4 linked regions of the Astyanax mexicanus genome follow. The main gene of each other region encodes a partner of the protein of the gene in region 3 in a complex. Links are inferred from orthologs where the notes say so. Each region holds a gene or a part of one and is shown on either strand. Other genes may lie near its edges.

Region 1 (6,980 bases), on a different chromosome or scaffold from region 3:
TATTTAGGTAGGTAAAGCGCTTCCATTTATTTACTGTAAGCTTACATTTCCAATATTTTCAACAGCGCAGTCAGAAGCAGAGCTAGCCATGGTTAGCAGCTGTGCTAGCAACAGTTAGCAGCGTTAAGCGCTAATAAATGCCACCCAATAGCACTACACTGAGAAACCCTGAGTGATCCAGTAAGCCAGGGTGCTATTAGCTAACAGTTTGTCCCACGTAGCTTGTTTTAACACGGTAAACATTCTCATATACACACTTTTGAACGGCAAAAGGGCTAGTGCTGCAGTTAGCTGCTAATGCTAATACTGCTTCAGACTCTGTGCTGAAGAAACTTCACTGAAAATCTGTTAAAACGCTGCACTTCAGTGGAGTGGCTTTACTGTTCCTTACAAACTGAATTTATACATAAGATGCACCGAATTTTGGGGAAAATTAAAGAATTTAAAGTGCACCTTGTATTGCAAAAAACATGATAGTTTAATTCATGGTAGTTTAGATGGTGTTTAATTTATGTCTAGAGTTCATGTAAATCGTAATCAGACTGTTGGTTGCTTTACTACCTTGTGAATTTCTGCAGTCTAGACGTGGATTCAGGAACAAACATTGGAATGGTCCGTGTGTGTCTGCAGGAAGAGTTTATTAATATGTGAATTAAACAGAACAGACATAAAGCAAACAGATGAAACTCCTCTATTCATGCATTACGTTCCAATATGAACATCCCACTTACTTTCCTGGGGTAAAGGGAATGTGTACTGCTCCATAACCTCTGACAACATCATTGCCAAACGTGTCCGGTCCATAGACACTAACCACAATCTGAGGCCCTATAAAATCAACACAGTTACAATGGAGCTCAGTCGCATGTATTACAAGAGCATGCAAGAGACATTGTGCAACTAAAATAACAAAAATTCTTGTTTTTCAATATACAGAATAAATGGAAATTGAAAATTTGTCAAAACGGAAGGTCACCATAGGACCACCACAGAGCAGGTATCATTTGGGTGGTGGGTCATGGTGGTGGTGTATGAGGTTGTTGTATGTTGTGCTGGTATGGGTGAATCAGATACAGCAGTGCTGCTGGAGTTTTTAAACACTGTGTTCACTCACTGTCCTTCTATTCAGTAATAAAACTCTTGCGCCAGGACTGCAATTGAAAAAACAGGAGGACGATTGGGTTTTTAGGCCTTCTCGGTCACGTGATATCACGTTCAGTAGCTCCTCCATTTCCACTCGCTGCTGTCCTTATGGGGATCTTCATTTTCTCCTTTTTGGGGGTCCTCTGTGATTTTATTCCCGACTGGAACGACCATGTGTTTTTCTCAGACGTCCTCTGAGAAAATTACAGGCTGAATTACCTGCTGTTTTTCACTAATTTTAGTTCCATTTGGACGCACATCTCCGAGTTTCGTCTCCTCGCGTTTAATAAAATAGCTATTTGTCCACTGCCAAGCACCCATGATTACACTTTGGCCACGTGTTTCCATGGAGAACCAAGTAAACACCACAGCAAGTGGACATGGAGGAGCTACTGAACGCAATATCATGTGACCTAGAAAGCCAAAAACTCACTGGTCTTCCTTTTTTCAATTGCAGCCCAGATGCAAGACCTCTGTGGTGGTCCTGTGGAAGGAATACAGTAATTGTATAACTATAAGGTGCTCTATATGATCAGTGGAGCTGATAAATATATATAAACATATACGTGGGTCCAATTACATAATGAGACGAACTGGGAAATGGAAGAACTATGTAAAAAATTATCCAAGTGGATCTACACTTCAATAACATCTTGACTGCTTTATTTCAAATCCAGGTTGTGCACAGAAGCAAAGGTATATTCCAACTATACTTGGAAACCTTTTTCATTTCTAAAGTTCAACATATAACAAATAAACACTTCAAATTGTATCCTTATATTTAGTAACACATAGAAATACATACATCCAAACGGGTTGGTGCTTTTGAAAGTGATGTCGAGAGGAAAGTTCCACACCAGACTCTGAGTGGAACCTCTGCCCTTCGATGTTATCTGAGATATTCCCTCCTCTAAGCCCTGCAATAAGGTAAAGGTATTTAATTATTTCATCAATAAATAAATTAATATAAAGACAAGCATATAGAAACAAAGATTCCAGCTCAAGACCAGCTTTTGCTGGTAGCTGATTTGGCATAGTCTGAGCTGGCCTTTGATGCTCAAACAGCTCTTGACCTGCACAGTGTATGCTGCATTGGTAGTGTACATTAACATTAGCTAAATATTCAACATGAATATAGCTAACATTCTGGATTTAAGAAAGGAGAGGGGAAATAATAAAACGGAGCCCTTGGTGACATCATGTAAAAAAGACGTGGCCACAACTTATTAAGGCGTGGGAATGAGATCCTAATCCGTGGCTACGAAGCTAAAATGTGGTACGTGTTAATTAAATAGCCACAACTTAAATTAACTTAATTATCTTACTCCCACGCAGTTGTGGCCAATCATTAGGATCTCATTCCCACGCCTTAACAAGTCGTTCATTTGTTTTCAACATGATGTCACCTTAGGGGCTGCGTGATAAAAAGAAAAGCACAGAGTGATAAATCTGGATTTTACTTACTGAAGTTGGAGCCCAGTCGTGTCCGTAAACAAAACAGTATTTACAGTATAAATCATCGTATTCTGGAAACTAGAAATAAATGAAGAGATTAAAACATAAACAGCAGCAGCTTTAGTTACTTTATTACCTTTATTTAACTGAGTTTAATCACTAGATAATCACTATTTATAGATCCGTTATTTTCAGTTCAGATTTACCTGCGCGCCCTCGATCTGCCCGCTGATCATCAGCAGGAACACGGAGGGGTTTGGGGAGGTCATGTTCAGATCATTAATAAAACAGTAAATATTAATATATCCCTAGTTTCATTAAATTAACTGATCCTCTCTCCTCCGCTGTTTACATAACTACAGAAATGGCTGCTGGTTGCTAACGCCGCTCCAGCCGCTAAGTAGCGACGGCTTTACTACTGGGGCCTGTGAGGTCCAATCTAGATGAAACGCGATTTGATTTATGCATCTGTCCTGCCACTAGATGGAGATATTTGACAACAAAATTACAGTAACATAATTTATGCTGATCCTATTTTAACCCTTTGATGCGCAACATGTATTAATATATAGTAAAATATAATATAATAATATTATATAATAATATTACACTATATAATATAATAATTTTCTATATTTTAACAATAAATTAGTTTAGTAATTCAGTGTTGAATGTATTTCTCAATTAACTTGTTTTTGATCTTCATACATCCTTGTTTTATTTTTACCTTTCTTATTTAAAAAAAAAACCTCACTTGGAGATGCTCAAAAAGACACTTGGAGATGCCCAAAACAACATTTAGAGATGCCCAAAAAGACACTTGGAGATGCCCAAAGTGACATTTAGAGATGCCCAAAGAGACACTTGGAGATCCCCAAAGAGACACTTGGATATGCCCAAAAAGACACTTGGAGATGCCCAAAGGGACACTTGGAGATGCCCAAAAGAAAACTTGGAGATGCCCAAAAGGACACTTGGAGATGCTCAAATGGACACTTGGAGATGCCCAAAGGGACACTTGGAGATGCCCAAAGGAAACTTGGAGATGCCCAAAGGGACACTTGGAGATGCCCAAAAAGACGCTTGGAGATGCCCAAAAAGACACTTGGAGATGCCCAAAAAGACACTTGGAGATGCCCAAAGGGACACTTGGAGATGCCCAAAAAGACGCTTGGAGATGCCCAAAAGACACTTGGAGATGCCCAAAAAGACACTTGGAGATGCCCAAAAAGACACTTGGAGATGCCCAAAGGGACACTTGGAGATGCCCAAAAAGACGCTTGGAGATGCCCAAAAGACACTTGGAGATGCCCAAAGGGACACTTGGAGATGCCCAAAAGAAAACTTGGAGATGCCCAAAAGGACACTTGGAGATGCCCAAAGGGACACTTGGAGATGCCCAAAAGAAAACTTGGAGATGCCCAAAGGAAACTTGGAGATGCCCAAAGGGACACTTGGAGATGCCCAAAAAGACGCTTGGAGATGCCCAAAAGACACTTGGAGATGCCCAAAAAGACGCTTGGAGATGCCCAAAAGACACTTGGAGATGCCCAAAGGGACACTTGGAGATGCCCAAAAGAAAACTTGGAGATGCCCAAAAGGACACTTGGAGATGCTCAAATGGACACTTGGAGATGCCCAAAGGGACACTTGGAGATGCCCAAAGGAAACTTGGAGATGCCCAAAGGGACACTTGGAGATGCCCAAAAAGACGCTTGGAGATGCCCAAAAGACACTTGGAGATGCCCAAAAGACGCTTGGAGATGCCCAAAAGACACTTGGAGATGCCCAAAGGGACACTTGGAGATGCCCAAAAAGACGCTTGGAGATGCCCAAAAGACGCTTGGAGATGCCCAAAAGACACTTGGAGATGCCCAAAGGGACACTTGGAGATGCCCAAAACAACACTTGGATATGCACAAAGGAAACTTGGAAATGGCCAAAAGGACAGATGCGTAAAAAGACACTCGGACACTTGGAGATGCCAAAATGTCTGTTGGAGATACTCAAAAAGACATTCAGAGATGCCAAAAGGACACTTGGAGATGCCCAAAAAGACACTTGGAGATGCCCAAAAAAACACTTGGAGATGCCCAAAAAAAACACTTGGAGATCCCCAAACAGACACTTGGAGATGCCCAAAGGGACACTTGGAGATGTCCAAAAGGACATTTGTAGATATCTAAAAAGACTTTTGGAAATGCCCAAATTACTCTTGGAGATGCCCAAAGGGACACTTGGAGATGCCCAAAGGGACACTTGGAGATGCCCAAAAGGACACTTGGAGATGCCCAAAAGTACATTTGGAGATGCCCAAAAAGACACTGAGAGATGTCCAACATGACACTTGGAAATGTCCAAAGGGACACATGGAGACGCCCAAAGGGACACTCGAAGATGCCCAAAGGGACACTTGGAGATCCCCAAAAGGACACTTGGAAATGCCCAAAACAACACTTGGAGATGCCAAAAGTGACACTTGGAGCTGTTCAACACTTGAAGGAAAGAAGGAGGAAGATGGGGAGGAGTTGAGTGTGAAGTTGTTCGACATCCAGGTAGAGAGGAAGTGAGGGTTTATAGAGGGTGGAGAGTGGGAGGAGTAAGGGTGTGGGTCAATCTCCTAAAATTAATTTATATTCATAACTCCACTTATGAAATCTTACAACAATTTGAATGCCTTGTTGTTGGTGATCTGGCAAAAAGAAGATATGAGGATGTCAATAAGCTCGGTGATTCCACAATAATAGTGGAGAGTGGCTTATCTCATACCTAGAGATAAACAACATCAAAAACATATTTCTTTGCCTGTTCACTCTCTGTATCGATCACCCACTGCACAGGCTTCTTTAAAAGCTGCTTTTCTCTGTCTGCCAGACAAACAGAGCATGTGCTGCTTCAAAACCTGAGTAAAAGAGAAACAGAGACAGAGGCAGGTTCAGAGAGACAGTGTTTATGTTACCGTGCTGCAAAAATCAATAATTTTTGAGTCTTGGGTTTATGTGTTACCTAAACACTGTACCAGCACCCAACTACAGTCTATACTCTTATTTGGGTGGAATATTTGGGAGGAAACCCTTAAGGTAATTTAAGCCTTTTAGAAAGGCTTTCTCTAAAAACCTTTTCTTGAAGGTTCCTCAAAGCACCTTAAGGGGGTTCCTCCACACTTCCAAATGGAAGAACCCCAAAAAGTATCTCAAAGATCTTATAATTTTAACAGTGTACAGTAAGCGAACCAGGCTTGATCGTCACTGTGTGGCTCAAGCGCGTCCCAGTTTGAGCTCTCCTCGTCTTTCGCCAACCGTCCCTCTCTGGGACCAGCTTCTTTGACTCTCAGCCACTATTTATAGCAACAGACTTGTCTGCACTACTTAAAAGTCCTCTGCGGAACCTCCATCTACCTTTTTTTAGATACAGGATAAAGGCAGCGAGAGTCATTTCTGTGGGGTGGGATTTTTTTCTCACCTCTTTCCTCATCAGAGTGGCTTTGAAGTGCAGTTCATTACTCCTTCCCCCTCCTCTCAAACCTGTGGGGGAGATTCATGTAAGACGTGGTCAGAAGTTGTAGAGTGCCCAGAAATGACCTGATGATAATGGGGTCTGCAGACCTACTTCCATACCCCAAATCTCAACACCATTAGAGAGCCAGATCCATTTAATTTGACATTTCTAACCAGCTGACATTTTCCAGTGTCACCAAAACATCCACCAACTGTCCACACACTGCATCAAATGTCAAGGAAATGCCATGTGCCCAGAGGCTGTTTTGAGGAGGGTATGGCTGGGACGTCCTATGTTTCACCAGATCCCCAGCTCTGTTACACCAGACCACAGACGCCTGTACTAATTAGCATTAATGTGGAAATGATGAGGGCATTTCTAAGAGAGAAACATCTATTCACCCATAGATATACTCCCTTACTCATCCCAAAAGTATTGAATGGAGCACCATCATTCCACAGAACAAATACCTATACCTGTCATTAGGCACAATGCCTATAGTAGGTGTATATTTATCTGCACCAGAGCTCAGCTGAATGCATTGATTAAAAGGGTGGTGTCAGCAAATAAAAGTGTCGATTGGTCGATATTCTTTAACTGATGCATTCTAGCTGAGTACTAAGACTTTCCCTGGTGATTTGTTCTGTATCGCTGTCCTGCTGAGTTGCTCTGTTTATTTACATCTTAGAGTAAGTGCAGACAGAAATGATCCTGATGATGATCTTTAAGGATATAGATGAAAGCATTAGTCATGTGTTTGTTTTTCTGATGTTTATGGACAAATCAGTTTCCATACTCTGTATGAAGTGGCTGTAGACTGGCTAACGTCCTGAAGACTCAATTCACAACCCTGAAGCGCTCTAAGTAGCTGTTTGACCTTCAGA
Region 2 (7,440 bases), on a different chromosome or scaffold from region 3:
ACAGATGACAGGTAATCACTTTCACTGCTTACATAATTTCTGATAACACAAAGATATCATATATTGGCAAATATAACTAGTTGTTACTAGTTAAACACAACCGATTTGATATTTGTCGAATTTGCTCAGTGTTTACTATTGACTAAGTAGAGTCTTAAAATTATCTAAACAAACTTAACCTAAAAAAGGAACATACACAAAAATGATGCAGGCCAGGTTATGAATGTAGGCCATGAAGTACAGAAACATCTATTGTGTCTTTGTTCAGCTGTAGACAGGTTTCATATTTTACCATCTTTTTGAGACAATTATGTATTTTTCAGCTATTTTAATAAAAAACACTGATGTGACGTGACTGCTGTGTTTTCTCATAATGGACAGAACATATTGTGAAGAAATGTATTTATGCTTAATATACTTAAAACATTAGATGCAACCTTTCCATCTTCCATTATTTGTATATCCTTTCTGAATCTAGGCATCTATTTTTATTTTCATATTATATGAAGTAAGACAGACAATGTGTACTTTTTAATATATTTTTAAATAAAAAAATATATACAAATAATTACAAAAAAATACTATGACAAAAATAATTGGTAAAAAAATTGTTAGAGAATGATCCGAAATATTTCCCACCAATGCTATTTATGGTCACTTTGGTTCTTTAAACGTGTGCAGATCTTCAGATTTAGAAGCATTCGTTATGCTCTAAGTTCTTGAATTCCATTAAACTGCCGAAGATGGAAGCGGCTTTCGGTGTTCCTGACCATTGCACGAAGGGCAACAAAACCAGAGAGAGCCTGTGAATGATATTTGGGGTAAAACATCAAACACAAATGAGTAAAAATTAATTAAAAAAAGGATGAATTGAATTAAAGGATGCCCATGAGAGTGCTGCCCATACCTCTGCTAAAATAAATAGAGCGAGAATGATATGCACTCCTCTTTCCAAAGGTTGAATGAGTATAGCTTCATTAAAAAGCAGGAAGAGAGTCAATGGAAACTGAAGAAGGAGACTTAGAAGCCAAAATCCAGCCAGTTCGGGAACCTGCAAAGAGAAACAATGTTTGATTATTACCTGCCAAACAAAAAGCTCCTGCATTTTATTTACTCTCTCCACTAATGCTGTTACATACATTTAGATTTCACATTTTATTTATTGTCTATATGTGAAGAGTAATGTTACACATGTATATAGTTTATATTCAGTACCAGTCAGGAAGTTTGGACACACATCTTATTCAATGTGTTAACTTTCTTTTTATGTTTTTTTTACATTGTAAATTTAACATTGAAGACATTAAAGCTATACAGGAAGATGTGGAGTTATTTTGCAAACAAAAAATGTGAAACAAACCAGAATATATTTTAGGCTACTTTAGTAGTCACAATTATTATTTAGCTTTGAGGATATATTTGGACACTCTTGGTATATTCTCCGTGGCTTCATTAGGTAGTATTACCTGGAATCGTTTTCTCCAGCTCATCCCAAATCACCCATCTCAGTTGGGTTTAGGATAGGGGATTGTGGAGGCCAAACCCCTTTTTTCCACTACATAATTCATTGTGTGTCCCTAAATGCCTTCAACATTAATTTACAATGTATAAAATAAATTTAATAATTCATAAAAAAAATTATGTTCAATGTATGTTGCGTGTATATATATATTTTTTGTATATAGCTATTGTGGTCTTAAGTTTTTTTTAACTTACCTGCACACCTAATGTGATCTGACAATAAACCAGATTTGACATTGATTCTCAATAAAGATGCGTATGGATATTACATTAGAGAAGTCTTTACCTTTTCTTGCAGGTTCCCAGCGTAACCCAGGTAGAGTCTGATACCCTCGATGAGGGTCATTAAAATCAGGACGGTAATTAAGATGAACTTGTAGTAGTCTGGAAGGGCTGGGTACTAAAACAGAATACAAGGTAAGCTACCTTCACTAACTTAGGTTAGTTACTACATACATCCAGGTCAGACAGTTACCAAACTAGCGTTAGTTAACCTAGCTAGATTACTTACTTTGAGTTGCAGCATCACCACTTCACTGATCCACCACAGAGGAAAGAACCATAGGTTGAAGAAAAGGGACATCTGAAGCGGCAAACTGGACACGACTTCTCTGTCTGTATAGTGAATACATGATAAGAGTGGGGAGAACTGAGTGTCTAGTCTACCACATTTAACAGCTAACGTTAGGTTACTACACTGAACTGTAAGCTAGTTAATTAATTAGATAACGCTAGCTAAGCTGGTTTAGCCAATTAAAACACGACAATAAATACACAGTAGCTCATGTGCGTTCAGCTTTGCACGCCAGATAACGTTAGTGAGGTTCATTTTCCTTTTTAGAAGTTTAGTTGCAGCTTCTTTGCCAAAGCTAACGCTAACCTAGCTGATGTTATTGTTTTAGCGGTTAGCTAGTTAGCACGCATGAGATGTAACCCAGCTAGCTCACAGTTGGATATCAGGACAGACTCACTCTGATTCAGGAATTTGACATGATCCTCAGGGGTAAGTTTAGAAAATGTCTGATCCACGAAAACAGTTCTGGAAAAATCCCCCAAACGTCTTCTTATGGGCTCCGGTAGATCCATGATGGAGCACACATCTCAGCCTGACGCTAACGCTAACTGCTGAACATCATCTCCTAGCAACAGCTGTGGGCGTGTTCAGCAGGGAACCGCTGTACTTGCTGTAGCTCTGCAATCAGGGTTGCCAGGTCCGACAAACATATCCAGACAAAAGTCAGTCTAAAACCAATTTACAAATGTTGAGTTTTTTTTACTTTACCAAATTGTAAAGCTCTGGAATATAATCCAATTACTTGTAATCATGTTTCACTACACTCCAAGTCTATTTCACACCAAATGTCTCCTTTAAGGTAGAGATAAAGGTAAAAAAAAACATAAAACAGATTTAAACAATTCCTTTAAAACTCAAGTTCACAGATGAGTTTTCCTTTACTATATTTACTAATATTTAATATATTACATCAATATATTCCATATATTCCATCATTCATGTAGGCAGAGACACTCCCAAAATTTCACACCACTGCATTGACTTTAAGCTGGCACTAAGTAGCCATGGCCAACAGGTCAAAACATAATAAAGTGCATGCTCTACCCTGATTGGTGAGTTTGCTTTGCACATATAAACCAAAGGTAACCAAAGGAAATAGTACAGTGACAAAATACACAGGCTACTTCTCTATTGTCCACCACTGTTCATGAACCTAGTTAGCTTACATACGATGGCTTTTAAAAACCTAAATAAATAAGAACAATAAGATAGAAGAATCTCCTCATAAAAGTCATATTACAAAATAACTTTATTGTAGATTTAAAATGGCTCAGTTACATTAACCAATTCACTAGCACAGTTTTGAGGAAAAAGGAAGCAAAATCCTAAATTATGTATGCCAGTATTAAGTCTTTCATGTTTGTGTGACGCCAGCATCTTGGGGCTTGACCATCATCATGCAGGAGTCAGAGGATCATTTCCAAGGATGCTGATGTTCCAGTGTAATCCACAGTGTCGTAGAATCGGAGACAAGATTTATGCTGCAGGAGCTTCTCAGCCAGGTGACTCTGTCTTACTTCTTTACACAGTTCAGCACTCAGGTCTGTGTACCTGTACAACACAACAAAAAAACAATGTGCAGTATCAACACAATACTGTCAGAATTAGTTGCACAACCATGCTTCTGTGTATCAACCTACAAGTCTACATTTTCTGTCTTAAAACTTGACATACCTTACATACATTTTTATGTTCATGTTTTAGGTAGATCAGATGTGTTAAGGACCCATTTCCCCATTTCATTCACTCGTCATGGTGAGGGCGGAATTTTTGAGTGCAAGGCAGGAATACTTACTAGAGAAGTTGCCAGTGTAACTCAGGGTACTACACACACTCCATTTACTCATATCTAGCTGTAATTTAGAATAGCCTACCCACCTACTGGTATGTTTTTGGGAGATAGGAAAAAACACAGGAGGGTTCATATGGAAAACACAGAGAGACTGGAGCAAGGATTTAACTCCCACAGCCAAACCACTAAAGCTGTATAGCTCATACAGTACCACACTTTTTCAATCCTGCTTAAAAAGATTGCAAAACATACTTTTTGCTTATTTGTCCATGTATGCCAGGTCTACTAAGCTGCATTAATTCTGCTCTAAATTAATTGTTGTTGTGATAATTAGGGCTGTAAAGAACATGCAGAGACCATACGTATCACGATACAGGGGTTACAATTCAGTACATAGATGTATTGTTATACTGTATGCAAGGGGATATATTTGAATTGTTTAAATTAAATAATTTACAATAAATAACATCTGTCATAGATAAAACACTATTATATGTATTAAATCTGAATAAAACAATAAAACAAAACTTTACTTTTTATGCAGTGAGAACAGTGGGATTTAACAACAGAGTACAACACTGCTATCTTTTTGAGACTTTTGTTCATATTTTTGCTAATCCAGGCTCAGCAAATGGTATCACTATGTATCTTTGGTGAAGGGAGCAGGACACATATTTGTGTAAAATCCTGTAATAGTACTACTCAGTTCACATGCTACTACAACTTTAAGTGATGGTTCAGTATCTCATAATGGATTATTCACCTTTAGGTTAAGCCAATGACTAAAAATACTATGTTACTAATGCTGCTTTAAGTAGACCTCCTGATGCATTTCATACCTTATAGGTCAGAATGAACAAACTCTGGTATTGATAATGTGTTTCCAGTGTACACTAAGGGCTCCTATGATACAACAAAATATGAATTTGTAGCCTACCTGCAAGATAATCTCCAAAACAGCAGGGTATTTATGGTCATCAGAATTGCCAAAGTGAAGAAAAATCTCTCCAGATTGCCGTCGCTGAGTGTATTTGGATAGAAGTTCCCTAAAGGCAGAAATGATCAAATGAAAATGATTCTTTATTAGCAGTGGCTGATGAACCATTGCCCCCGAGTTTTTGCTTTGTGTTAACAAAATGCTGAGAAAGCCTTACCCCCAGAAACAAGATAAAAGAACTGAGTCAGAACAGCACCCAGAAAGCATCCTCCTCCATAGAAGAGAGTGAGGAAGTGTAGGGAGATGCCTCTGAGGTTACTAGGAGTCATACAGAAAGAGATGAGGGAGCCTAAAAGTAAAAGGATTAGAAAAAAAGCATGAATTACATGAATCAAGGATATCAGTGACATAGTAGAGATGAGCTGCTTTCAGCTAGACAGTTTGGGTCTATTTATAATAATCTGTGAATCTTTTGGAAATCAGTAATAGGACCTAGTGTTTAATGTTTTGCACATTATTAAAATGCATACTTACATGCTGGTGTGACAAATGCTTCTGCTATACCCAGTAAGACATACTGAGGTGCAAGTTGAAAACAGGCCATTGAGGACACCTGTAGTACTGTTCCTGACAGTGTCTGCTCCACCTGAGAGAAGTCTTTCCTGTGGATCTCAGTAATCCCTGCAGCTAGTGCAGACAGAGCTGCACAGGCATGTCCCGCTGCTGCAAGAAAAGATGTCACAAAGTAGAGCTTACTACACTCCATACCTGTCACACTTACTTATAATTCATTGGACATGCATACTTATGAATTTGGCTGGAGAAGGAGGTGTTTTCTTCAAAGACTGATAACAGGTGCCAAAAAATTCCAGTAGTGGTGCTAAAATTAGCAATGGCAGGATACTGATCACATTCATAGCTGCTATAGGAAGGAGGAAACCATTGAAGTTCAGATTTGAATGCATGGTCTGGAGGTAGTATCCTGATGGAATCTGTGAAGATGCAAATTATGTTATTGGTTATACAACTGTGGAATGGACATCTGCGCTCAGAGATAATACCTAAACAGAGATAATATGAATTATAATAATAATAATAATAATAATAATAATAATTGAAGATTAAATGTTCATCATTACATTATGTATAAGATCAGTTTATGTACAAGTGGTGGAAACGATATGTCTGAATGTTTGTGGACACCCCTTCTGCAGCTATTGCTGACACAAATGTACAAATGGACATATATAAACTGCTTGTCTAGTCCCTGAGTGCTACCAATAGTATAGGAATTTTTCCAAAGCAGCTAAATGTGAATCTATTGGCACTATGCCTAATGCCAGTAGTGGACTGGAGGGGTATAAGTGCAATCAAATCCTCACAGCAATGCTCCAAAATCTAATAGATTTCCCTGGACAGGAGCAGGGGTTTTAGTACTTTTGTCCACTTATTTTGTATTTTATAGGTGCAATTATAGGAAGTTTAGGTCAAATCGTACAAACACCTTTTTATTGTGTAACAAACATTAACAGAAAATTTTGTTTCGCATATATACTTACTTGGGTTATACAAGCCCGGTAGAGCAGCTGCAGTCCAAAAAGAGGAAAAAGCTTAACCAGGATCTTAACATTTTCAACACTGGTCTCACTGTAGCGTCCTCCATTGTTCTCCTTGGCACGGTCCAGCCAATTATTCACGTCTCCACTCAAATGACGATAATGGAGGCAGGACATTTTTAAGGAGTTTAGGAACACACCCAGTGTGGTCAGCAACAAACTGGCTGTGTGTTTTCCCACACATGAAAGGTCAATGGAATGAAGGAAGAGAAGAAGACACAATGATCAAATACTGTTATGTGAAATTCAGTGTCATCTATATATAGAGGGTACACATATGATATCACAGTTGGGGAGAGTCTGTGTGATTATGCCCAGTGGCAGTATACTGAGTGGCAGCATTAGCGTTCATTGTAAATGCTGTGAAGACACAAAATGGGAAAGAGCCCTTGTGTGATTAAATATAAAAACTTGTTGAAATCAATGTACATAACAATGTAAGGAAACCTAATTTCTAGTTTCTAATTGGTCTGTTGCTCTAGAGCCCAACGGCCTTCAATTTAAACACATGACCACTTGTTTCATAGCTGGTTTGGCTGTTTCAGTCTGACCAAACGACATGTTCTGGCAGAAACAGGACTCCAATGAATACCATCTATTGCATATAATTTATTGCAGAAGTTTTGATCTATGCAGAATTATATAAACAGCACATTTATTTTATTTGTGTATATTTGTATATCTGTTTATCTGTATGTGTTTGTTAGTCCATTACCTTTCTTTGGATGAAAGATGAGATTGTTGCGTGCCATGTGTATCGCAACAAGAGCCAATAGAACAGAGGTGAAGGGAATGAGAAAGCCCAGGTTTTTACCCACAGACTGCTGAATATAGGAGATCCCCAGGAACACAACTGTAGAATTGAGATTCACAAGCCAGTAGAGCCTGTGGTTATAAATACCATCAGTTTTACATCAATAGCATAACCTTCCAGAGATGTACAAGCATTTTGATTTGCTCTTAATTATCTATAGTTAATGATTTAATGTCTTACCAATTA
Region 3 (7,151 bases):
GCTAACCGGGGAGGTTAACACTGCTAAACGTGGCTGGCTAACAGTGCTAACAGGGGCTGGCTATGCTGCTAACCAGAGCTGGCTTACACTGCTAACCGGGGCTGATTAAACTGCTAACCCTGGCTGGCTATGCTCCTAACTGGGGCTGGCTATGCTCCTAACTGGGGCTGGCACTCAACTTTGGACAAAATACCAGATCTCTAAGCTTACTGTTAATCAATGGAAGCGCTTCGTTCACCCATACATTTTTTTTAAAAGAGAAATCCATGTAGATTAACATTCAACGTGGGTGAGCTGAGAACATCATAAACAAGCAGGGCTTCAGGACCATCCATCCATCCATCCATCCATCCACCTACCTACCTTAAGAACTAAAAACTATATGTATAAAACACTTGGGGCACCTACAAACTACTTTTATTAGTGCTTTCATAACATCTCTTTATAACATCTCAAATACATTCACTTCTTAATAATACCACTCAGTCGACCGTGGAATATCTAAGAGCTCTTCAAAAATGTTTATAAAGATGCTTGATTTTGTACATACTGTACACACATATATTATTTTGTTTACTTACAGCCTCTGTGTGGACAGGGTGGACGGCAAACAAGAGTGCGGCCACCAGGCTGGTCTTGCGGTCCAGCAGCAGTCGGCAGAAGCGAAGGAAGAGCACACACACAGCCGCATGGAGAAGCACATTGAGCAAGTGGTAGGACAGAGGAGTCAGTTGACTTAGCAGGTAGTTGAGGCGGAAAGTGAGGACAGTGAGTGGTCTGTAAGATTTATGGCTCCTCTCCTGCACAGAAAGACGGCAAAGTCATATTCATCCATCCTCATAAGAATTGAAAAACCCTGCTCCTATAAATCATCTATATTAACTAGCGCCATTGTCAGATTTGCTCCAGAGGAAGACTGGTCGCAATAGCAATGTGCCTTGACTACAGGTACAGCCAGCAAGTAAATGTACACGCAGAAAGATCAATGAGGTGAAAAAGAATCCTAGAGTTTTAGCTGAAGACTTACAGAAATCTCTGGCACATGCTAACGTTTTTCACAGCAGATATCCCAAGAATATTGCTGAACTGAAACAGTTTTGTGAAGAGGAATGATCCAAAATTCCTGCTGACCATTGAGCAGGTCTAATCTGCAACTACAGGAAACGTTTGGTTGAGGTTTCTGCTGCCAAAGGCGGGTCAACCAGTTATTAAATCCAAAAATTCACATACTTGTTGTGTTCAATAAAACCATGCAACCATATATATATTTTTGTGATATTAGTTTAAGCAGACTGTGTTTTTATATTGTTGTGACTAACATAAGGATTAAAACACATTTAATGACCCATTTATGCAGAAATCCAAGTAATCCCAACTGTAACATCCATTCCAATATAGTTATTTAGTGTGTAAATTATTGCAATACTGCTTACACCCGACACAGTCACACTGTTATCTGCAAAATATTCAGATGTGAAATGTGATCAGTACTGTCCAGTACCATTTGTTAATTTTTTTTGTCATTACTAAAAGTCGCCTTCCGCTAAAATCCACTTTTTCTTGTTCTTCGTAAAATACTATAAGTCTCTCTGAGTTGTATATGAATGCTGCATATGAAACAATTCTTCAACCTCCATTGTCTGCAGTAGCTAGTAAAAAAATAATGTTCAGAATTGGCATTGATGACATTTCTTTGAGCTGCGGGGCCGCTTGTCTGACGTTAAGTAAAGTTTAAGGGTTAACTTTATACAGCACTCAGTGCTGTATCTTTACAACTAAGGCTGTATCTCTGAAAAAAAATTATTCTTTGAGTTTTAAAGCTGTAAAATTGACTGTGGGGCAAAGCCAGGTATCATTCTCTGCTGTAGTGCTGTTATTCATACTAGAGACTAGACAATTTAAAAGTAATGAAAAAAAACAATAGAATGAGACCTTTAAATAAATTCCTGAACAGCATGGCTGAACTGCATCATGTAACTCAGTGTCACAGTGCACTGTAGGACCCTACCTCTGACATGGGCGTCCCCCAAAAATCATTGAGGAAGAGGTTCTGAATAGGCGTCGAGGGACGAAGGTCCTTGTTATCCAAAATAGCAGAAACATCATCAAACACAAAACCACAAAGCAGACTGTTCCAGAAGCACCCCAACACCAGTCCAGTCAACAGGAAAGCCTCCTTCCACAACACAACAGCCATCACTAACGTGAGTCCTCATTGAGCACTGTAAAAAAAAAAATCCAATTCCACATCAGAGATTAATGTTCAGATTCAGATTACTGTTAATATCAGTCATGCCATTAAAGCTATGGTTCACAAAAAAAATCTCATTTTCAAATATAACATCAAAAAATGTTTGCTAATGCTTATTCCCATGACTAAAGGCACACAAAGCATGTTCTTTTTAAAGAGTTCTTATTGTGAACTATTTATCGACACAGACAACTTCCAGAATATCTCAAAATACATGTTACAAATAAAAATTCAAAGGCAATGTTAAAGACATGGATCCACATAGAGGCTGGGAAAAGATGTTAAGAAAAACTGAAATGGTTTAGCTCCAACACCTAAAACTCATTTCAATAATGGTGAAGGGAGGATCAAGGCTTGGGGCTGCTTTGCTGCCTTGGGTCTTGGATACCTTGTATCAATAAGGGCACAGCTGGTCGCTGCACTAATAGCTTCCCTAATGCTGCCATTCTTTTTAGCAGCTATCTACCTTAACTACATTACCCACTAACGCACCACCTGCTTAATCAAAACAGCTCCAGATCACAACTCACTAGAGGTGGGTAACCCAGGTCCAGAAAGTAAAATCCAACCCAGAGTTTTGTAGCAGAGCCGCCCAGGGCAAACCCTGGGTTGTATTTTTACTTTCTGGACCTGGGTTACCCACCTCTACAACTCAACCCTTCTGTAGAAAAGCTGTGCAGCAAAGCTTACTGTAGCCTCTGTTACTGAATCAGCTTCTGTTACTGTATTATCTTCTGTTACTGTATTAGCTACGATACAGCTACTGCTGCTAACGGTGCTGAAAAAGGAAGCTAGCTAATCCTTGCTCCTAACAGCAGCATATGAGATCTATAAAACACATTATACAAGTTACAGACCCACCTTGTCATGGCTTTGATGAGATAAACCGTAAACAGAGCGTGTGTGTTTGTGTGTTTTTGCGTTTTAAGCCAAGAGCAGCCTTTATTCGGGAACAGCAGTCGAGATTTTTTTTAATGCTAATGGGCTTTTTACAAGTTCCGGGTCGCAATGCTTAAGAGTTCAGATGAGGAACATGAATTCATATTCTGACCTTATTTCTTTATTTATTTACAAAGAATATATTATTTAAAAACACGTGCCCGTAATTTCAAATATCATGACGTTTTTTTATAGAATGAATTGTTATTTTAATTAATAATATTTAGAGGACTTTTATTATGAAAACCTTTACACTCCAGAACGTTTGCTGATCTTAAATCATTGTCTTCTGCAGTTGAAGAACAGCAGCGCCATCCACCGATCCGCGTGATCTGTAGATTAGTAGTCCCCGACCCGCCCGCGGAGCGCCACTGAGCGGTAGCCTAGCAACAGCACAGAAAACGGGACTAGCCAGCCTGCTAATGCTAACAGTGCTAACGCCAACTAACTAGCTAGTACAGCCATAAAATGCAAGGCTAAAATGGGTAAAATATTTAGCTTTTTGGAGAATTTCAGACGTCAGAGGCTACAGCTGGCCATATTATTGGACTGTCTTAGATGGTAAACTTAACTGATAACTTATCTAAGTTATAACTAAGTTATATATTCAACTCTGTTTTCTCATCCAGTAACGTTAGGTTAGGTTACATTAGCCTGGTTAGCAAGTTAAATAGAAAGCTAAAACCGAGATAAGCTACTAAAAGTCAGCTTGTTTTTTTTTTTTGTTTTTGTTTTTTTGTCGTTGATCTTCTTTAAACTCTCTTCTCGGGCGCATTGTTGTCCAGATAGCCAGCCGTTTCATTAACTGAAATGCCAGCTAAAGTACCGTAAATTAAACCAGTTTACCTGCAGGCAACGGTTCAGCAGGTAGTATTTAACACTGTTTCCGGATCCTCCACAGTAGCCCCAGTTTTACATGTTTAAAGTGACTGGTGTTGTAGTATAAAGGCTGTTTGGAGGCTGTGGACAGATTTTGGACACCAAACAAACCGCAAGATGCCTCCAACTACAGACTGGAAAACAGTGATGACTGTTGATCCTGATCTTCTGGGAAGCGAAGAGGAGGAAACCATCTGTGATATTATTCTGCAGGTAACGTTAAACTCTTAGCATACCGTAAACAGTAAAGTTTCAGTGATTGTAGACGGTATGTCATCTATCCTCAATGTTAAAATTTTGTTTAGATATACAGTGGCATGAAAAGTATTTGCTTTCTTTACAGATTTTTTTTTTGTTTTTGCATTTCTATCATACTTTATTTTTTTAAGATTATTGAACAAACATTAACATCATACAAAGATAATCTGAGTAAATATAAAAAACATATTTTAAATTATGATTTCAAAACCAATCTAGCTGTTTGCCCCCACCCAAATATCTTAAAAAAACGCACATTATGCTCAGATCTGGAAAAAAATATATCAAGAGTCATTGACATCTATCATTTAAGAAAAGGTTATAAAGTCATTTCTAAGGATTTGGGACTCCAGTGAACCACAGTGAGAGCTATTATTTACTAATGAAGAAAACATGGAACACTGGTGAACCTTCCCAGGAGTGACCAACCTACCTAGCTATACACAGTAGGTCACAGGCTGGTTCCATGCATACAGTCATTGGTTCCACCCCGGCTAGGTGTAACCCAGCCCCTTTACAATAACCACACCTTTTTGAATAGAGCTGAATAACGTTTTTTAAAACGAATTCTGTGGGGATATAAAAAATAGAATATAAGCAGAGGTTACACTAGCTGCTGCATTTAAATAAATGAGGTAGAATTACAGTATATTAAAAAATGTGATTGAAAGTTGTCTGTTTGCCACACAAACACAGCTTTCTGCAACCGAACAGCAGGGGGCGCCTGACCTGTGGTCACTTTTAAGAGAAGATGCTCTGTCCAGCTAGACACAGTCTATGGGCATAAAAAAAAAAACAATGTGGCCTGTCTCACATTTGTCAAAAACATCTTGATGATCCCTAGGACTTTGGGTAAATATTATTTCGAAATGATGTGACAAAAGTGGAAATTGTGAGTGTTTGTCCCATTACATCTGGCATAAAACTAACGCATAATTGCAGAACAAGACCATACAGAAAAATCATACTAACGTTATATGTAAAACATGGTGGTGGTAGTGGGATGATCTTGGGCTGCTTTGCTCCTTCTGGGTCTGAAAAAAACATGCTGTAAAAGATGGAACCAGAGGGGTATTCCAGAAAGGGGGTTAAGTGACAAAACCGGATAAGTTAGTAAACTTAGAGTTCACGGAAACTCAGGGTTTTCTGTTCCAGAAAGAGAGCTAAGAGAGAACCTGAGTCAGTTACTGTAGCAACTTGCGTTCTGAAGCTAACCTGCTCGCTGGCAGGTTAACTTACTCCGAACGCAGGGTTACGCCCACTTTTCTTATACAAACGGATCCAGTTGATATTGAAGCGCAAATTATTCACAGAGCTCTCTGTTGTGAACGAGTAATTTCACCCAGATTAGACGTGTTTTCAGTTTCTCCTCAAACGTTACCGTTTTTCCTCGCAGTCAATTTCATACCTAAACAATATTTTAAAGCCTCACATTTAAAATATCACGCATCGTGGATCAGCCCTCACATCTTTGCAGACTTTATGCAGTGCTCTCAGTTTCTTTGCCAATGGGCTTTTTTTGTACAGTGCAGGCAGCAAAGTGCAGCCTGCAGTGCAGCAAAGTATGCCTAGCTTTAAAACAGTTGTTGTCCAGTTTTGTGGTGTTCCCTGGGCATAAGCCTTTAATGAACATTAAAGAGGAATTCCACAGAATTGCAGGTTTGTCTTTATAACAAAGATTACAAAATTATCAAACAAATCGGAAGTGAAAGATAAATAGCTCTGCAAAATTTTATATTTATATTTATTATATATTTAAATTTTGTAATTTAGGAGTCATTGGATGCATGGATGGAACCCACATTCAAATTAAAGCCCCTGCCGAAAATGAAGGAGATTATGTAAACAGAAAATCCTTCCACAGCATTAATATACAAGTACTGATCATAAATTTACTACTTTTTAAAAAACAAAAAGGACTTATATTTAATACATTATAAAAACTTATTTTCTCCTCCATTAAGACCATACACAGGAAATTTGGCAGTGTTAAATCAACACTGTTAGTGTTAAATCAACACTGTTAGTGTTAAATCAACACTGTTAGTGTTAAATAAACACTTATTAGTGTTAAATCAACACTTCTTAGTGTGGATTTAACACTAACAGTGTTGATTTAACACTGCCAAATTTCCTGTGTATGTGATGCTACCAACATTATTACTAATTTTGAAGCCAAATGGCCAGGCTCTGTACATGATGCAAGGATATTTCGAGAGTCTGCACTATACAGTACATTTCATCAGGGTTTGCCTATGTTTTCGATTTATTTATTTTCTGATTTTGTCCTTATTCTTGATAAAAACAAATATACAATCACAGCAACTACTCCCACCTTTAATGTATATTCTAGCAACTCAATTTCCAGTCTTGTCTGTTTTGTTTTAGGTGAACCTAGTATAAATCTTTAACAGCCATCTTGAAAGAAAGAGACGAAAATACCATGTTATGCTCAAATAAATAGCTTTGTGTCCAGAATGGTTTTGATATTTGTTGAGACATAAGCATTCTCACTGTTCCAAGCTGAGCTTTGGAGATGGATGGTTCCTCATCAGATTCCTGATCACCAGTCACATTCTGTTATCGGACAGTCACACACATTACCATGTTTAATCAAATGATATAGCAGAGATTGTTTCATCATCATCATCCTGCAACAGGAATATATATTTTTTTGTTAAACACAGATATTTATTCACATCAAGTAAGATTTGGGAACATTAAGATAACTTACAACTGTAGGAAGCTGATTTAGTTGCATCATTTTAGTAGCATTAAACATGTTAAGAATATGAATGCAGTTCACAGTTTATGAACTATAAAC
Region 4 (7,036 bases), on a different chromosome or scaffold from region 3:
GCCATATTATGGCAAGAACTTCTTAACTAAGTAAAGAAAAATAAATAAATAAATAAATAATGAACGTCAGCCAATCCAAAACATTTCAGTTCGAACATTGAATAATCCTCAAGTGCAGTCACCCAAAGACCATCAAAAACGTTATAATGGTGAAACTGGCACTCATCAGGACCTCTGTTGTACAGGAAAAGTTAATCAGAGTTACCAGCTCTTTTTTTTTTTATCAGTTGCAAAATAACTTATAAAATTATTAAATTATTAATCATAATTAAAATTAATTGGCATTGTTATATTTTGTTGCTACAAGAATTAATCAAAAGCCGCTAAAGTTTTTTTTTTTTTTTGCCTTGGACTTCTATGTCTTCTACTGCTAAATGTACATCATTATTTGTAAGTCATTTCGGATGAAAGCATCCACTAAATGCAATGTAATGTAACATATTGTATAATATAGAATCATTTTTAATACGGATCTTGAATTCATATGACTTATTAGCAAATCAATCAAATAAAGATATATTTAAAACTATTAAACCAAGCAATAACTGACATGTTTTGTATATAGTACAACTATCTATTCTGTAACTGGTTATCCATACACCGTGTCTCTGGTTGGTTGAGATGTACTTACAGTTAGCGGTCTGTATACAGAAAACATCAGGGTTGATCTGGCGCTGGACGGACGTCTGCACTGCTGAAAACCCCTCTGCTGTGGTGCGGAGGGAGTACAGAGCTGCATCCTGAGTGCACAGTCTGGGGTCTCCACTGACCAAACACACATCAAAGTTCATATAAATATAATCAGTTATTCAGTACCAGTCAAAAGTGTGGACACATCTTCTCATTCTATGTTTTTATTTATATATTTATTTTTTCAAGTGATCCAGACTATGAAGGAACACATAAGGAATCATGTAGTAACTTAAAAGTGTTAAACAAACCAAAATACTCTGTGAAGAAGCATTTAGATTCTCTTATCTGGGGAGCTGTTTGTTAACTTGTGGTTTCTGAGGCTGGTAACTCTGATGAACTTATCCTGTACAACAGAGGAAACTCTTACTCTTCCTTTTCTGGGGCGGCCCTGATGAAAGTCAATTTAATCATCATAACACTTGACTGTCTTTGCAGTAACTGCCCTTGGAATACTTTTTTTCCTTAAGATCAGTTGAATGACCTTTTTCATTGGTTTCTTTACTTAGTTTAGTTCTTGCTTCTCATAGTAGGGATTAGAACATTACTCACTGTATACCTGTAACTCTACCTCTTCACAACTTTACATCTGATGCTCTCAAACACATTAAGAGGCAAGGAATTCAAGTAATTAACTCTTGACTCTTAACTCAGCACAGCTGTTAACTGAAAGCCTGAATTCTAGGTGACTCTACCTCATAAAGCTGACTGAGAAAATCCAGCAGAGATGTGCAAAATTGCCATCTAAGCAAGAGGTGCTACTTTGAAGAATGTAAAATATAAAACATATTCTGGATTGTTTAACACTTTTTGGGTTACTAAATAATTCCATTAAGTTTTACTCATAGTTTGGACAACTTAAGTATTAATCTACAAAGCAGAAAATTAACGTACGTGACTTTCTGGACGGAGCAGCGGGTGAACAGGGGCCGTTCCTGAGAGCAGTCCGGGTCACAGCAGCAGTTCACCTCACACTGATCACTCTGAACATCACACGGGCACAGATCTGATACTGCACCAAACCAACAACAGCAGATTAAGATTAAAAAGAAAAGCTTCATTGTTAAATAAACCTAAATTATATATTATACATTTCTTTCAAATCCAATTCAAGATGGGCTATTCTTCTACAACTATTTATGTACTTATCTTAAACACTGAATTGTGCGAAGAAGAAGGAAAACTGGTGGATTTTCCCTTTAAGACAGATTCTGTTTAAGTCATTATGTAGTACCCTGATTTACACCTGTTACTGTTCTTCAGTACTGTTCACCAGTTCACACATTTAGGTGATTTACAGCTCTGACACCCTCACTTTAACACTTTATCAGACCAGTTCCTTTAATGTCTGAGGTTTTCCTGCTCGAACAGGTGCTAACTGTTGTTAACACCCCAGCTCTAAACTCTTTTACACTCTTTGGGAAACACACACACGTTTGGGGATGGAGTTGTAGATCAGGGACTGAAACTTGAACAATGTCTTGATTACGGATTTGGATCCGTAAATTAGCTGCTATAATCACTTTGTTTAAAAAGAAGTCGGCTTATGTTTACAACATTAACGTTGTTTAGACGTTAGAACGGAGTTGGCTACGGCTGCGTATGTAGATCTCAAGGTTTAATACAGTTAGTTAGCTAGATAAACCAGCTGAAAATGCTGGTTAATATAACGTTTTTTGAACGTTACAGTCATATTTTAGGAATGCTATTTTTCAACGTTTCAACATTTATAAACGTTGCTAAATGTTCTAACACGTTGTGGTGCAAACCATTTACTTATTATGTTACACGTTATTAGAACGTTCCTGGAATATTACATCTGAAACGTTACAGGCTAACTTAACTTTCCTGAAACCTTTTCAAAACGTTGCTAAACTTTCTCATAACGTTCTCTGTTAGCTAAAAAGCTAGTTTTCTTCTATTTATTCCCCCATACGTGTGTACCTCGGGTAACGGGTGCGGGTAGGGATCCAGACAGCGGTAAGGGCAGGGCTGCGGTGCCGGCCCGGGCTAGGTCCGGCTCGGCTGTGGGTTCTGGAATCTCCGTTTCGGGAAAGGCGGTGCTGGGCTCGACTGGAGACGCTGCGGGCATCGATACCGGAGCTAAAGTGTAGTTTTCTTCCCCGGTCTCCTCCGTTACATTATCAGACTCATCCCAGCCGAACCTGGTCCGGTTCTGGTCTAAAACTGAGCTGTTAAATCCGCCAGATTTCGCCCAGAACCCGCAAAACAAACCGGCCAAAATTAATACCCGGAGCAGCGCAGCCATGCTTAACAACCGACACAGCGCAGCCCGTCTCCAGGAAGCTGAAATAAATGAATAATAGGACTTTTATTTTGTAATAAAGCCAATTTTTATGTTTTATTCCATATAATGGACAAAAATGAAAAACTATTTTCATTTGGCTAAATGCTACACATATTATTATTACAAAAAAATCAAACCTTAAAACCCAGGAAAAAAGGAGATCTATTACAGAAAAACGTATACATATACACTTACCTATACGTTACCTATGCGTTAACATGTAAAATCTTATTTATATATTATTAAATATAGAGTTACAATAAGAGACTTTTGTTTTGTATAAAAGTACCCCATCCCCTTTCTCAATACTCCTAAACCTGGACACAAATAATGGTTATAATTAAATAATAATTAATTTTAAAGTAATTGTAAAAGAGCACTAGATATTCACAATTTTAACATTCTGTGTATTTGCTTTTTATCAGCAAATAAAAAATCTAATAATTAATAGTAAACATCAAACATTTTTGATGGCTTACAGTTAACAGCTGTGCCTTGTAAATGTTAATTACTTGAACTTCTTGCTCTCTTAATGTGTTTAAGAGCATCAGTTGTAAAGAGGTAGAGTTGGTACACAGTGAATAGCCCTTTTTGACTATTTCTTTGCATAATATGGAGTTCGGTCAATCCGAAAAATTTCGAGAAATTCTGAAAAAGTTTTATCCTCCAGTGCAGTCGAAAATCGACCATCAAAAACGTTAGAAGGATGAAACTGGCTCTCATCAGGACGGCCCTAGGAAACAAAGAGCAAGACTCTAATACATCTGTATGACCAGTATTCATTTATAAATTAAAGTAATAAAGTAATATATTACAAACTTCAAAGAAAAATTATTTAAAATAATATTACTATTGTTTTATTGTTTCTTTGTTTTTGTTTTTTTTTATTGACACGCCCCCAAACGCTCTGATGGCCTGGAGCCACGTGACGCGAGTACCCGTATGTCCCGTGTACTTTTGCTCCTGAACGCGGCGGTGTTTTGTTTGCGCGAGAGTGCGGCGCGTGAAGATGTCGGTTGTGGGGGAGCACCGCGAGACCGGCTAGTGTTTAAAACCCAACGGAGAACCGGACAGAACCAGTACAGAAGCGGGACAGCACCGTAGAGGACGGGCGCGGGTGGACTCCACTTCTCTGAGCCGGAGTCGGTGTAACACGATACGGGGACAGACCTCCAGGCTCCCAGGCGGCTGCTGTGAGTCTCTCAGCCGGGCTGAGTGAGGGTCAGCCAGGCAGCAGACTCCTCCACAGACTGCCTCTCCACCTTGTGCTCCGGAGCTCTATGCCGGCGGCTGGCTGCCGGTGGACGCGGGCTCTCGGTTAGCGGCGCGTCGCGGAGACAGCGGGGATGTTGTCCGTGCTTTCCTACGGGAGGATCGTGGCCAGGGCCGTGCTGGGTGGACTGTCTCAGACCGACGGCCGCGACTATAGCCTGATCACGGCCAGTTGCGGCTTCGGCAAGGACTTTAGGAAGGGCATCCTGAAGAAAGGGATGTGCTACGGGGACGACGCGTGCTTCATCGCCCGCCACCGGTCCGCGGACGTGCTGGGTGGGTGGACTGCGTTCATTGCTTACTTAACTACTTAACTTGCCAGAGGTTCCTATACACCTACAGCTTTTATTAGTTTGTTACCTGTCAATCAATTAACTCACCTGTGAGCCTAATTCATTAATTAACTCAAATGTCAATCAATTAGCTACGCTGTTTATTGGCAGGTTCAGCAGTAGCTTTGTCAGGTAGTTCTCTCATCGTCTGCTGATTAGAACCATATATGTAGTCTAGCTACCTTAATTTCTTCTACTGTGTGTTAATTAGACGAGCTTAAATAAAATAAAATAAAAAATTTAATCATATTAACTAGCTTAATTGTCACGTGACATCAACAATACCCAACAATAGTATAGTATAGATGAGTGGAAACAAACCAAACAAACAAAAAATTGGGTGCGTAGTACTAGCACATATATATAAATATATATACACACAACACAAAAACATAATGAGTAAATGCACACACTGTATGTTAGAGCTTTCTAAGAGAATGTTGTTGGTTAACAGCTACACATAGTTTGTTCTGTCTAAAAACAACAGTAACTGTTTGAAGTAGGTTAGCTAACTCTGGCCTTACTTCTCTCTCATTTACTGATTAAAATGAGTCATATTTAGTTGTAAACAGCTGGTATTTAAGCTACATTAAGCATATTTGCATAGTATTATAGTGCATTCAGATACAGCCATTATAGCTAAGGTCATTCACAGAATGATGATTGACCTTCAGGGTTAAAGTGCCACCAGCATTGCATTGCACCACAAACAGACACACACACTCTAGCACACACACATACACACACAGTGTGTTTTCAGTGTGTTTGTGTATGTGCAGGAATCACCCTCACCTGAAATAACCTTACTTTTTTTTTGTTTTAACCATTTAATACACCTTTTAAGTTTATTCACAAAAGATGTAGCCAGATAACTAGGTTTCTAGTGATCTTGGTAAAACTATCCCCAAGCAGATGGCTGAGGGTGCAGGGTGCAGTGTATAGGGTGTAGTGAGCAGCCTGTGTAGGAGGTGACCTTTCACCTAGATACCTAGAGATCCAGCACGAGCCCCTGCGGCCACAATAACGTGAACACGCTTGATAATTTTAAGATTTAGGTAGTTTAATAAAGTGAAACACTCAGCTAAACAGCGTATTTATTAGTTTTAATGATCTAAGCTGCTATACCAGCATCATATCTACTCACTTCATTTGTAAACACAGCTAATAACCCGGATTGCACAGGAGTATCCACTATTAAAACCGGATTAAAAACTAAATGCATGCTCAGATATCGTTATCAATCTTCGAGTCGAACTTTGTAGAAGCGCGTGGTTGCTTTTTATCAAGAGCTTTGCAGTGTTTTGTATCGTAAAGGTCAGAATGGTTGAGCATGGAGGCAGCCATATTACAGCTCAACCACGTTGCAGGCTCGCACATGCGCACATCCACCAGCTGCTGCTCGTGAATTAAGAAATGAGCCTTTAAAAGAGCTTATTTCCATGTTCAGACCTTTTTATAAAGATTATAGACACCTTTTATCTTATTCAGACCCATCATATCCCACTTATATAGTTTAAAATTATGTATTATGGTGAATTAATACAAAACAAGGGAAAGCATAAACCATCTTTAAACATAATTATATGTACAGACGTTTTATTAAGATTGTAGACGCATTATCCATTATACAGCCATATCCTGTCCAAACTTAGATTGTTTAAAGGGATGTTTTAATGTGAATTAGTACAAAACAAAGATCAAAATTAAGCATAAATAACCCCCCTTTATTATATTAATAAACAACCACATGTTTATTAAACCAAGCACATATGCATGCATACAATTAGTGAAATAAAGGGTCGCTCAATACATTCTTTTATCGTATCAACAATATGTTTATCGAGTCATCACTGATTAAAGAGCACTGATTGTACTGTACATTTTATAAGAAAGAATGTAAAAATCTGTTTAATTGAACAAAGTGCAGCAATTGTTTTAACATAAATCATTGGATTATGCATGACAAAGTATCTGAATAGGAGTTATTCTGCCACTTCTGGTAAAAATAATGTGTATTATAGTATTATCTTTAATGTGCAAATATTTTCCATATACGTATTATTATTTTACAAGCACATATGTACAAATACTTAGCAGAATAAGAACTAAAATGGTGACTTTTATCTTGGCGCTTCTTTAAATGCAGTCAGGAACAAAAGGGGCTTTTGTGTAGCTTCCGGCTCAAGTTTCCTTTGTTATGGAGCCATGTGGGGGAACGAAAAAGCCGGCTGTTTAAGGCCCCCCACCCCCCAGTTCAGCTTCCCCAGTCTATTTTGTCTGTCTGTCTGATTATCTGATTATTAAGATACAGGTTTTGTATCAAACACATTGTACCATGACTTAAAGTAATTAAATATAATTTATTTAATTTGCCTTATGTTACAATGCTGGGGTAACAGTGAACACACTTTTTTTTAGTTCTGGGGCTAAGAAT

What was found.
Region 1: cep290 (region 3) and b9d1 share a complex: the UniProt entries of both Homo sapiens proteins name them as parts of the tectonic-like complex. The link is inferred for Astyanax mexicanus from reciprocal best matches to the Homo sapiens genes CEP290 and B9D1.
Region 2: cep290 (region 3) and tmem17 share a complex: the UniProt entries of both Homo sapiens proteins name them as parts of the tectonic-like complex. The link is inferred for Astyanax mexicanus from reciprocal best matches to the Homo sapiens genes CEP290 and TMEM17.
Region 4: cep290 (region 3) and tctn1 share a complex: the UniProt entries of both Homo sapiens proteins name them as parts of the tectonic-like complex. The link is inferred for Astyanax mexicanus from reciprocal best matches to the Homo sapiens genes CEP290 and TCTN1.

Annotation. Positions count from the first base shown.
Region 1 is NC_064410.1:53,741,982-53,748,961, forward strand, and holds the start of b9d1 (B9 domain-containing protein 1), read right to left. Parts: upstream 3,020-6,980; 5' UTR 2,868-3,019; coding exon 2,805-2,867; intron 2,677-2,804; coding exon 2,608-2,676; intron 2,061-2,607; coding exon 1,949-2,060; intron 829-1,948; coding exon 732-828; intron 625-731; coding exon 562-624; intron 1-561. UniProt on the Homo sapiens protein: Component of the tectonic-like complex, a complex localized at the transition zone of primary cilia and acting as a barrier that prevents diffusion of transmembrane proteins between the cilia and plasma membranes.
Region 2 is NC_064409.1:54,423,325-54,430,764, forward strand, and holds tmem17 (transmembrane protein 17B), read right to left. Parts: upstream 2,676-7,440; 5' UTR 2,608-2,675; coding exon 2,493-2,607; intron 2,137-2,492; coding exon 2,033-2,136; intron 1,922-2,032; coding exon 1,808-1,921; intron 1,052-1,807; coding exon 908-1,051; intron 804-907; coding exon 705-803; 3' UTR 526-704; downstream 1-525. Other genes in the region: slc15a5 (solute carrier family 15 member 5), read right to left, coding at 3,502-3,646, 4,825-4,933, 5,042-5,173, 5,359-5,547, 5,630-5,816, 6,384-6,604, 7,156-7,325, 7,435-7,440. UniProt on the Homo sapiens protein: Transmembrane component of the tectonic-like complex, a complex localized at the transition zone of primary cilia and acting as a barrier that prevents diffusion of transmembrane proteins between the cilia and plasma membranes.
Region 3 is NC_064417.1:17,363,120-17,370,270, reverse strand, and holds the start of cep290 (centrosomal protein of 290 kDa), read left to right. Parts: upstream 1-4,148; 5' UTR 4,149-4,186; coding exon 4,187-4,282; intron 4,283-7,151. Other genes in the region: protein O-mannosyl-transferase TMTC3, read right to left, coding at 582-800, 2,009-2,197. UniProt on the Homo sapiens protein: Involved in early and late steps in cilia formation. Its association with CCP110 is required for inhibition of primary cilia formation by CCP110.
Region 4 is NC_064427.1:20,757,919-20,764,954, reverse strand, and holds the start of tctn1 (tectonic-1), read right to left. Parts: upstream 3,006-7,036; 5' UTR 2,960-3,005; coding exon 2,635-2,959; intron 1,703-2,634; coding exon 1,585-1,702; intron 766-1,584; coding exon 632-765; intron 1-631. Other genes in the region: pptc7b (protein phosphatase PTC7 homolog), read left to right, coding at 4,345-4,546. UniProt on the Homo sapiens protein: Component of the tectonic-like complex, a complex localized at the transition zone of primary cilia and acting as a barrier that prevents diffusion of transmembrane proteins between the cilia and plasma membranes.